Saccharomyces cerevisiae S288C: one gene and its partner. Each later gene encodes a partner of the first gene's protein in a complex. Each region holds a gene or a part of one and is shown on either strand. Other genes may lie near its edges. A codon is read from its position in the direction of its gene.

The links.
Region 2: the proteins of COX1 (region 1) and COX8 are in contact, whole or in part, in a cryo-EM structure (PDB 6T0B), measured with the Saccharomyces cerevisiae proteins. Residues at the interface, in NP_009305.1 of Saccharomyces cerevisiae: Met1 (codon at 2,077), Gln3 (codon at 2,083), Arg4 (codon at 2,086), Trp5, Val16 (codon at 2,122), Leu17 (codon at 2,125), Met20 (codon at 2,134), Ile23 (codon at 2,143), Phe24 (codon at 2,146), Met27 (codon at 2,155), Ala28 (codon at 2,158), Ala31 (codon at 2,167), Met32 (codon at 2,170), Leu34 (codon at 2,176), Ile35 (codon at 2,179), Leu48 (codon at 2,218), His49 (codon at 2,221), Asn51 (codon at 2,227), Leu54 (codon at 2,236), Leu58 (codon at 4,696), Thr117, Leu118, Val119, Glu120, Ser121, Gly122, Leu401, Gly402, Leu403, Phe466; in NP_013499.1 of Saccharomyces cerevisiae: Val28 (codon at 999), His29 (codon at 996), Phe30 (codon at 993), Lys31 (codon at 990), Asp32 (codon at 987), Gly33 (codon at 984), Val34 (codon at 981), Tyr35 (codon at 978), Glu36 (codon at 975), Asn37 (codon at 972), Ile38 (codon at 969), Pro39 (codon at 966), Phe40 (codon at 963), Val42 (codon at 957), Lys43 (codon at 954), Tyr49 (codon at 936), Ala50 (codon at 933), His53 (codon at 924), Phe54 (codon at 921), Phe56 (codon at 915), Phe57 (codon at 912), Ile59 (codon at 906), Gly60 (codon at 903), Phe61 (codon at 900), Val63 (codon at 894), Pro64 (codon at 891), Phe65 (codon at 888), Ala67 (codon at 882), Cys68 (codon at 879), Val70 (codon at 873).

What each region holds. Positions count from the first base shown.
Region 1 is NC_001224.1:11,742-16,851, forward strand, and holds the start of COX1 (cytochrome c oxidase subunit 1), read left to right. Parts: upstream 1-2,076; coding exon 2,077-2,245; coding exon of another isoform or gene 2,246-4,581; intron 4,582-4,693; coding exon 4,694-4,729; coding exon of another isoform or gene 4,730-5,110. Other genes in the region: intron-encoded reverse transcriptase aI2, read left to right, coding at 2,077-2,245, 4,694-5,110; AI5_ALPHA (intron-encoded DNA endonuclease aI5 alpha), read left to right, coding at 2,077-2,245, 4,694-4,729; intron-encoded DNA endonuclease aI4, read left to right, coding at 2,077-2,245, 4,694-4,729; intron-encoded DNA endonuclease aI3, read left to right, coding at 2,077-2,245, 4,694-4,729; intron-encoded reverse transcriptase aI1, read left to right, coding at 2,077-4,581. UniProt on the Saccharomyces cerevisiae protein: Component of the cytochrome c oxidase, the last enzyme in the mitochondrial electron transport chain which drives oxidative phosphorylation.
Region 2 is NC_001144.5:908,886-911,830, forward strand, and holds COX8 (cytochrome c oxidase subunit VIII), read right to left. Parts: upstream 1,081-2,945; coding exon 844-1,080; downstream 1-843. Other genes in the region: SUMO ligase CST9, read left to right, coding at 1-513; tethering complex ATP-binding subunit VPS33, read right to left, coding at 1,350-2,945. UniProt on the Saccharomyces cerevisiae protein: Component of the cytochrome c oxidase, the last enzyme in the mitochondrial electron transport chain which drives oxidative phosphorylation.

The DNA of each region.
Region 1 (5,110 bases):
ATTATATTATATCTTATTATATGATATATAAAGTATTCACTCTATATGAGGTTATGATTATTATATAAATCTTATTTTATTTTTATTTTTATTTGGACTAATAATAATTATAATAATAATTATTGATATGTTCTAATATTAATAAATACATATTTATATTATAATATAAATATTCATTTCTTACTAATTAATAAAAAGTTTTTATATTCATTATAATATAAATATATAAATATATATAAATATTTTAATAATTATAATTATATTAAGATATTATAAATATATATTTATTTTTTTTTATAAAATAAATAAATAAATAAATAATTAATATTTTTATATTATAACTTATTTTTATAATAATAATAAGTATTTTATTTTTTATTATATTATTATTTATATAATTATATATATATTAATTTCAATTTAATTAATTAATTAATTGGTATTTGGCATATAATATCAATTAATTGTAATTCTTATAAGAATTAATTAATTAATATGCTTTTTATATAATTTATACTTTTATATTTCTCCTTCCGGGGTTCCGGCTCCCGTGGCCGGGCCCCGGAACTATTATTATTATTTTTATTTATTTATTATTAAAATATAATAATAAATAGTCCGGCCCGCCCCGCGGGGCGGACGCCGGAGGAGAATTATATTTTTATATAATAATTTATATTTCTATATATATATATATATATTATATATAAATATTATTATATATATTTTTATATATATTATAATTATATTCATTAATATTTTATTATAGTGGTGGGGTCCCAATTATTATTTTCAATAATAATTTATCATGGGACCCGGATATCTTCTTGTTTTTATTTATTATTTTATTAAATTTATTTTAATTATTTATTTATAATTTATATTATACAATTTATTATTTCGTTAATACCTTTATTTATATTATATAATATATTATATTATTATAATATATTTATTGATTATATTAATACATTTAACTAATGTGTGCTCTATATTTATTGAATAGTTTGGTTCTTATCACCCACCCCCTCCCCCTATTACGTCTCCGAGGTCCCGGTTTCGTAAGAAACCGGGACTTATATATTTAATACTAAAAATATAACTACATTACTTTTTTAATATATATAACAATATATATATATATATATATTAATTATATAAAATATAATACTCTATATTAAATATTATTTTTATCAATATTTATTTATATATATAATAATAATAATAATAATCAATATTAATTATTTATATATATAAGATTAATATTATTTAATATATTATGAATAATTTAATTAATAAATCTTTAAATATTATCATAAAAATATAAATTAAATAATTTCTTATTTATAATAAAGAATAATAATATATATAAATATAATAAAGAATGTAAATAATATATATATAATATAATATAATATAAAAAATATATATATATATAAATATATATATAATATATAGATAATAATATTTTTATATAATTTATTTTATTATTAAGTAATAAATAATAAAAAAATCAATATATTAAATAATATATTTATATTAGTTCGGTTTAGTTGGTATTTTGTAATGAGTAAAAAGTAATATATAATATTAAATAATAAGTATTGATATAAGTAATAGATATAATAATAATATTATTAATATTTTATATAAATAATATTAATAATATAGATTATGAAAGAGAGTATTAATATCATTAAATATATATATATGTTATATAATTTAAATGATTTTAATATATATATATATATTATATTATAGATTATGATACATTTATATAAATAATATATATATAAAAATTAATTATACTATTACTTTATAATATAATAATATTTATTTATAAAGATATAAAAGAATTGTTTAAAGTTATAACTAAAATATTATATAGTATTCATTAATAATTAATATTATAAATTCAACTATTGTTATATTTATAAATAGAATAATATATTATTATCCTTTAAGATATAACAATAATTATTTAAATTAAATTAAATTAAATTTAATTAATTTTTTTTTTTAATGAATATAATAATAATAATATTATTAAAATTAATATATAAAAAAAAAGTAAAAATGGTACAAAGATGATTATATTCAACAAATGCAAAAGATATTGCAGTATTATATTTTATGTTAGCTATTTTTAGTGGTATGGCAGGAACAGCAATGTCTTTAATCATTAGATTAGAATTAGCTGCACCTGGTTCACAATATTTACATGGTAATTCACAATTATTTAATGGTGCGCCTCTCAGTGCGTATATTTCGTTGATGCGTCTAGCATTAGTATTATGAATCATCAATAGATACTTAAAACATATGACTAACTCAGTAGGGGCTAACTTTACGGGGACAATAGCATGTCATAAAACACCTATGATTAGTGTAGGTGGAGTTAAGTGTTACATGGTTAGGTTAACGAACTTCTTACAAGTCTTTATCAGGATTACAATTTCCTCTTATCATTTGGATATAGTAAAACAAGTTTGATTATTTTACGTTGAGGTAATCAGATTATGATTCATTGTTTTAGATAGCACAGGCAGTGTGAAAAAGATGAAGGACCTAAATAACACAAAAGGAAATACGAAAAGTGAGGGATCAACTGAAAGAGGAAACTCTGGAGTTGACAGAGGTATAGTAGTACCGAATACTCAAATAAAAATGAGATTTTTAAATCAAGTTAGATACTATTCAGTAAATAATAATTTAAAAATAGGGAAGGATACCAATATTGAGTTATCAAAAGATACAAGTACTTCGGACTTGTTAGAATTTGAGAAATTAGTAATAGATAATATAAATGAGGAAAATATAAATAATAATTTATTAAGTATTATAAAAAACGTAGATATATTAATATTAGCATATAATAGAATTAAGAGTAAACCTGGTAATATAACTCCAGGTACAACATTAGAAACATTAGATGGTATAAATATAATATATTTAAATAAATTATCAAATGAATTAGGAACAGGTAAATTCAAATTTAAACCCATGAGAATAGTTAATATTCCTAAACCTAAAGGTGGTATAAGACCTTTAAGTGTAGGTAATCCAAGAGATAAAATTGTACAAGAAGTTATAAGAATAATTTTAGATACAATTTTTGATAAAAAGATATCAACACATTCACATGGTTTTAGAAAGAATATAAGTTGTCAAACAGCAATTTGAGAAGTTAGAAATATATTTGGTGGAAGTAATTGATTTATTGAAGTAGACTTAAAAAAATGTTTTGATACAATTTCTCATGATTTAATTATTAAAGAATTAAAAAGATATATTTCAGATAAAGGTTTTATTGATTTAGTATATAAATTATTAAGAGCTGGTTATATTGATGAGAAAGGAACTTATCATAAACCTATATTAGGTTTACCTCAAGGATCATTAATTAGTCCTATCTTATGTAATATTGTAATAACATTGGTAGATAATTGATTAGAAGATTATATTAATTTATATAATAAAGGTAAAGTTAAAAAACAACATCCTACATATAAAAAATTATCAAGAATAATTGCAAAAGCTAAAATATTTTCGACAAGATTAAAATTACATAAAGAAAGAGCTAAAGGCCCACTATTTATTTATAATGATCCTAATTTCAAGAGAATAAAATACGTTAGATATGCAGATGATATTTTAATTGGGGTATTAGGTTCAAAAAATGATTGTAAAATAATCAAAAGAGATTTAAACAATTTTTTAAATTCATTAGGTTTAACTATAAATGAAGAAAAAACTTTAATTACTTGTGCAACTGAACTACCAGCAAGATTTTTAGGTTATAATATTTCAATTACACCTTTAAAAAGAATACCTACAGTTACTAAACTAATTAGAGGTAAACTTATTAGAAGTAGAAATACAACTAGACCTATTATTAATGCACCAATTAGAGATATTATCAATAAATTAGCTACTAATGGATATTGTAAGCATAATAAAAATGGTAGAATAGGAGTGCCTACAAGAGTAGGTAGATGACTATATGAAGAACCTAGAACAATTATTAATAATTATAAAGCGTTAGGTAGAGGTATCTTAAATTATTATAAATTAGCTACTAATTATAAAAGATTAAGAGAAAGAATCTATTACGTATTATATTATTCATGTGTATTAACTTTAGCTAGTAAATATAGATTAAAAACAATAAGTAAAACTATTAAAAAATTTGGTTATAATTTAAATATTATTGAAAATGATAAATTAATTGCCAATTTTCCAAGAAATACTTTTGATAATATCAAAAAAATTGAAAATCATGGTATATTTATATATATATCAGAAGCTAAAGTAACTGATCCTTTTGAATATATCGATTCAATTAAATATATATTACCTACAGCTAAAGCTAATTTTAATAAACCTTGTAGTATTTGTAATTCAACTATTGATGTAGAAATACATCATGTTAAACAATTACATAGAGGTATATTAAAAGCACTTAAAGATTATATTCTAGGTAGAATAATTACCATAAACAGAAAACAAATTCCATTATGTAAACAATGTCATATTAAAACACATAAAAATAAATTTAAAAATATAGGACCTGGTATATAAAATCTATTATTAATGATACTCAATATGGAAAGCCGTATGATGGGAAACTATCACGTACGGTTTGGGAAAGGCTCTTTAACACGTGGCAACATAGGTTAATTTGCTATTTCATTTTTAGTAGTTGGTCATGCTGTATTAATGATTTTCTGTGCGCCGTTTCGCTTAATTTATCACTGTATTGAAGTGTTAATTGATAAACATATCTCTGTTTATTCAATTAATGAAAACTTTACCGTATCATTTTGGTTCTGATTATTAGTAGTAACATACATAGTATTTAGATACGTAAACCATATGGCTTACCCAGTTGGGGCCAACTCAACGGGGACAATAGCATGCCATAAAAGCGCTGGAGTAAAACAGCCAGCGCAAGGTAAGAACTGTCCGATGGCTAGGTTAACGAATTCCTGTAAAGAATGTTTAGGGTTCTCATTAACTCCTTCCCACTTGGGGATTGTGATTCATGCTTATGTATTGGAAGAAGAGGTACACGAGTTAACCAAAAATGAATCATTAGCTTTAAGTAAAA
Region 2 (2,945 bases), on another chromosome or scaffold:
CGTGTTGCAAAAGGCTTCGATGGAAAGTTGCCAAATCTTGACATCCTCACGAATAATGGCTCTGTATCTTCCAAAAATATATCAAGATTATCTTCAGCTTCTCTCCAACCCTCTTCGCCTCTATCTTCATCATCAAATAGGCTTATTTTACCAAATAGTAACCTCAAAGAATTGCATCATTCAAATACACCTTTAACAAGTACCTCGACGCAGTTTCCCTCAGCTTTAGAAAAATTAAAAATAACAAGGAAGAGAAATAATACTATCAGCGGTTCGAATAGAATAACACACAACTTGAGCTCACACGTAAGAAGCAGTGGTCTTGCCTTTTCATCTTCATCGAACTCATTGCAACAAAGTAAACTGCCGAAATCAAATATACTAAAGCGGTCCAATTCAACTCAGCAACTGACTAATACACATTTGAAGAGTGATAATCATCTGCCACCTCGCTCAAGTAATACTGTGTTGGGTAGTAGCAAGAAAAACAATAAGTTTAGAAGGATTAGGTAAATAGGTGTAAGGATTCCCCGTGACGAAAACAGCCTTCAGAATAGATAGAGTATGTTACTGTATTATAAAAGTTATTCTATTTTCTTATGTGTTACTATATATGGTATTATTTTAGAAGAAATTTGTCGAATTATGTTCTTCTTAGATCCTTCTTTCCCGCCGTCTCAATACGAAGGCACAAGGAGAGGATTATGAATATATGAAAAGAAAATTGTACAAATAAATAAAACGATGATATGCGCACCTAGGAATAGCAAAGAACACACTCTAAAACGTCTCAACCAAGCACGCTATGTACACACATCTATCCTTCAAACTTATGGGGGTGTTTTAAAAAGCACCTGACTTTTTCAATTGAACATAGCAGGCAACAAATGGAACAGCAAATCCAATAGCGAAGAACCCGAAATGAGATAAGGCGTAAGGTGTCTTTCTTCCTTTGACTTTGAATGGGATATTTTCATACACACCGTCTTTGAAGTGTACTGACCTCTTCATGATAATAGGTCTGGTCATGATATTGCTACTTCTCTTAGCTGTCGTTCTAATCATCTGTTGGCACAACATTGCGTAATGGAAATGGATAACTTTTCTGTTTAGTTTGCTCTGTGGCTCTATCTAGAAAATTAAAGGATACAAAACTAATTAACCATTCTTATAAATCACTAAGCCAGCACAATGGTTTCTACTGCTGTCAGCCTTTATTTTCAATTTTTCTTAGTCCCCTAGCTTTTCCGTAAACACCGAACACTTCTCTCGTATGATTGGTGCAAACCGTTTGGTGAAAAAAAGCACATTTGCATATACAAAAAATTAACAAATCTATCATATAATAATTAAGATATAGAGTTCATGATCCTTGTGCCATTGATCAAGCCATCGGCGATGATGATAAACCTTTTATTGATACCTTTTTTACCTAGTATTTTTTGCAAATGCTTCATTATAGCTATTTCACCCATTGTTACACCTCCGAGGAATACTACGAGTGCAATATCCTCTGCAGCATGAAATGTCCCATTAGATCCGTCTATGGACCGTCTATTATTGCTCTTGATGCTTGCATTGATCTTTTTTGTAATGGTTCCCGGGACCCATATACTCTCTTCGATCGCATGTGAGTCTCCATATAACTGTTCAATTAAATCCTCCGTTTGAGAAACTCTAGGTTCTCTTGACAGTATAAAAGGCTGCTGCGAGGAATAATTATGGAACAAGATAGACCTATCATATAACATCTGAACCAGTCTCATTGTCAAGGGCACTACACCACTGTAAGCAAAAGTGGCTTCCGAGAAGTCATCGTTCTCATTTGTGATTTTATCGGCAGCATGCTCGTCTTCTATGGGTACTGTATTGAACCATTGTGAAATATAACGGTATTCTTTCTGTAATCTTGTTGACTTACTTGTTGTAATATGCAAATCAGTTTTTCCCGTTTTGCTAGTGAAAAATCCTAACTCAGCCAATGATTCAAGTTGAAAGCATTTTTCAATGCCCCAAGAGTCGATCATAAAGGTTCTTAGATATTCATAATCCTTTTCTCGAAGTGAATTTTTACAAAGAGACAATAAACAGATTAATCTGAGAATCTTCTTTTGATCAACCTCGTACTGGTACTGCAACTCGAGTATAATATCTTCAATGTCGTTATTAAGTGTATTTCCCATCAAAATTTCCAGCTCTAACTCTAAGATTTTATTGAAAGATCCGTACTCTTCAGTCTCTACCACTTTCAAAACGTCGGATGATAAGGTTGTGTGATTTTTCAAAAAAGCTTGCCTTTGTTGCAAAGAACCTAAGGAATCAACGAATTCTTTGATTTCATGTACGCTCTCGGCTTTATGCCTTGTATCATATTGCGTTTGTAGTTCCTTTGCCAATTTATTTAACTGCGGCCCAATCGACCCAAAATTTAAAAATTTCAAATCATTCCATATTTTATCTTCCTTATAATTGAAGTTCATGTCTTTCTCCTTTATCTTTATGCCAGAATTGAATTCATATAGATCATCTAGTATTCCTGCATACGTAAGTTGTGTCAACAATGGCGTTATAGGATCGGTATTCCTTTCCAAGATAATCAAGTCCATTTCTAGTCCACAGTTGGTTCGTTCACCATAAAGCGTACCCTTGATGAATAAATCATTCTCTGTTTGATGCTCATCGATTCGTTTCTTCAAAAGATGGCTACATCTCTTAGACAGATTACCTATCGACACAACATTTGTTATGATACTATTAGTTTCAAAAATCAAGCTCTGCAACGAATTGACCATATCATCAACCAGTATTGACTCTGTGGCACTCTGCAAAGAACGTAAGTTGGGATAATACATGTTTACATTTTCCATGTTATAAAGGGAATGAGTCAATAGAACATTTTCATCAATCTGTGGGAAGGGCAAGAGATCCCAAGGGTAAAGGGTATA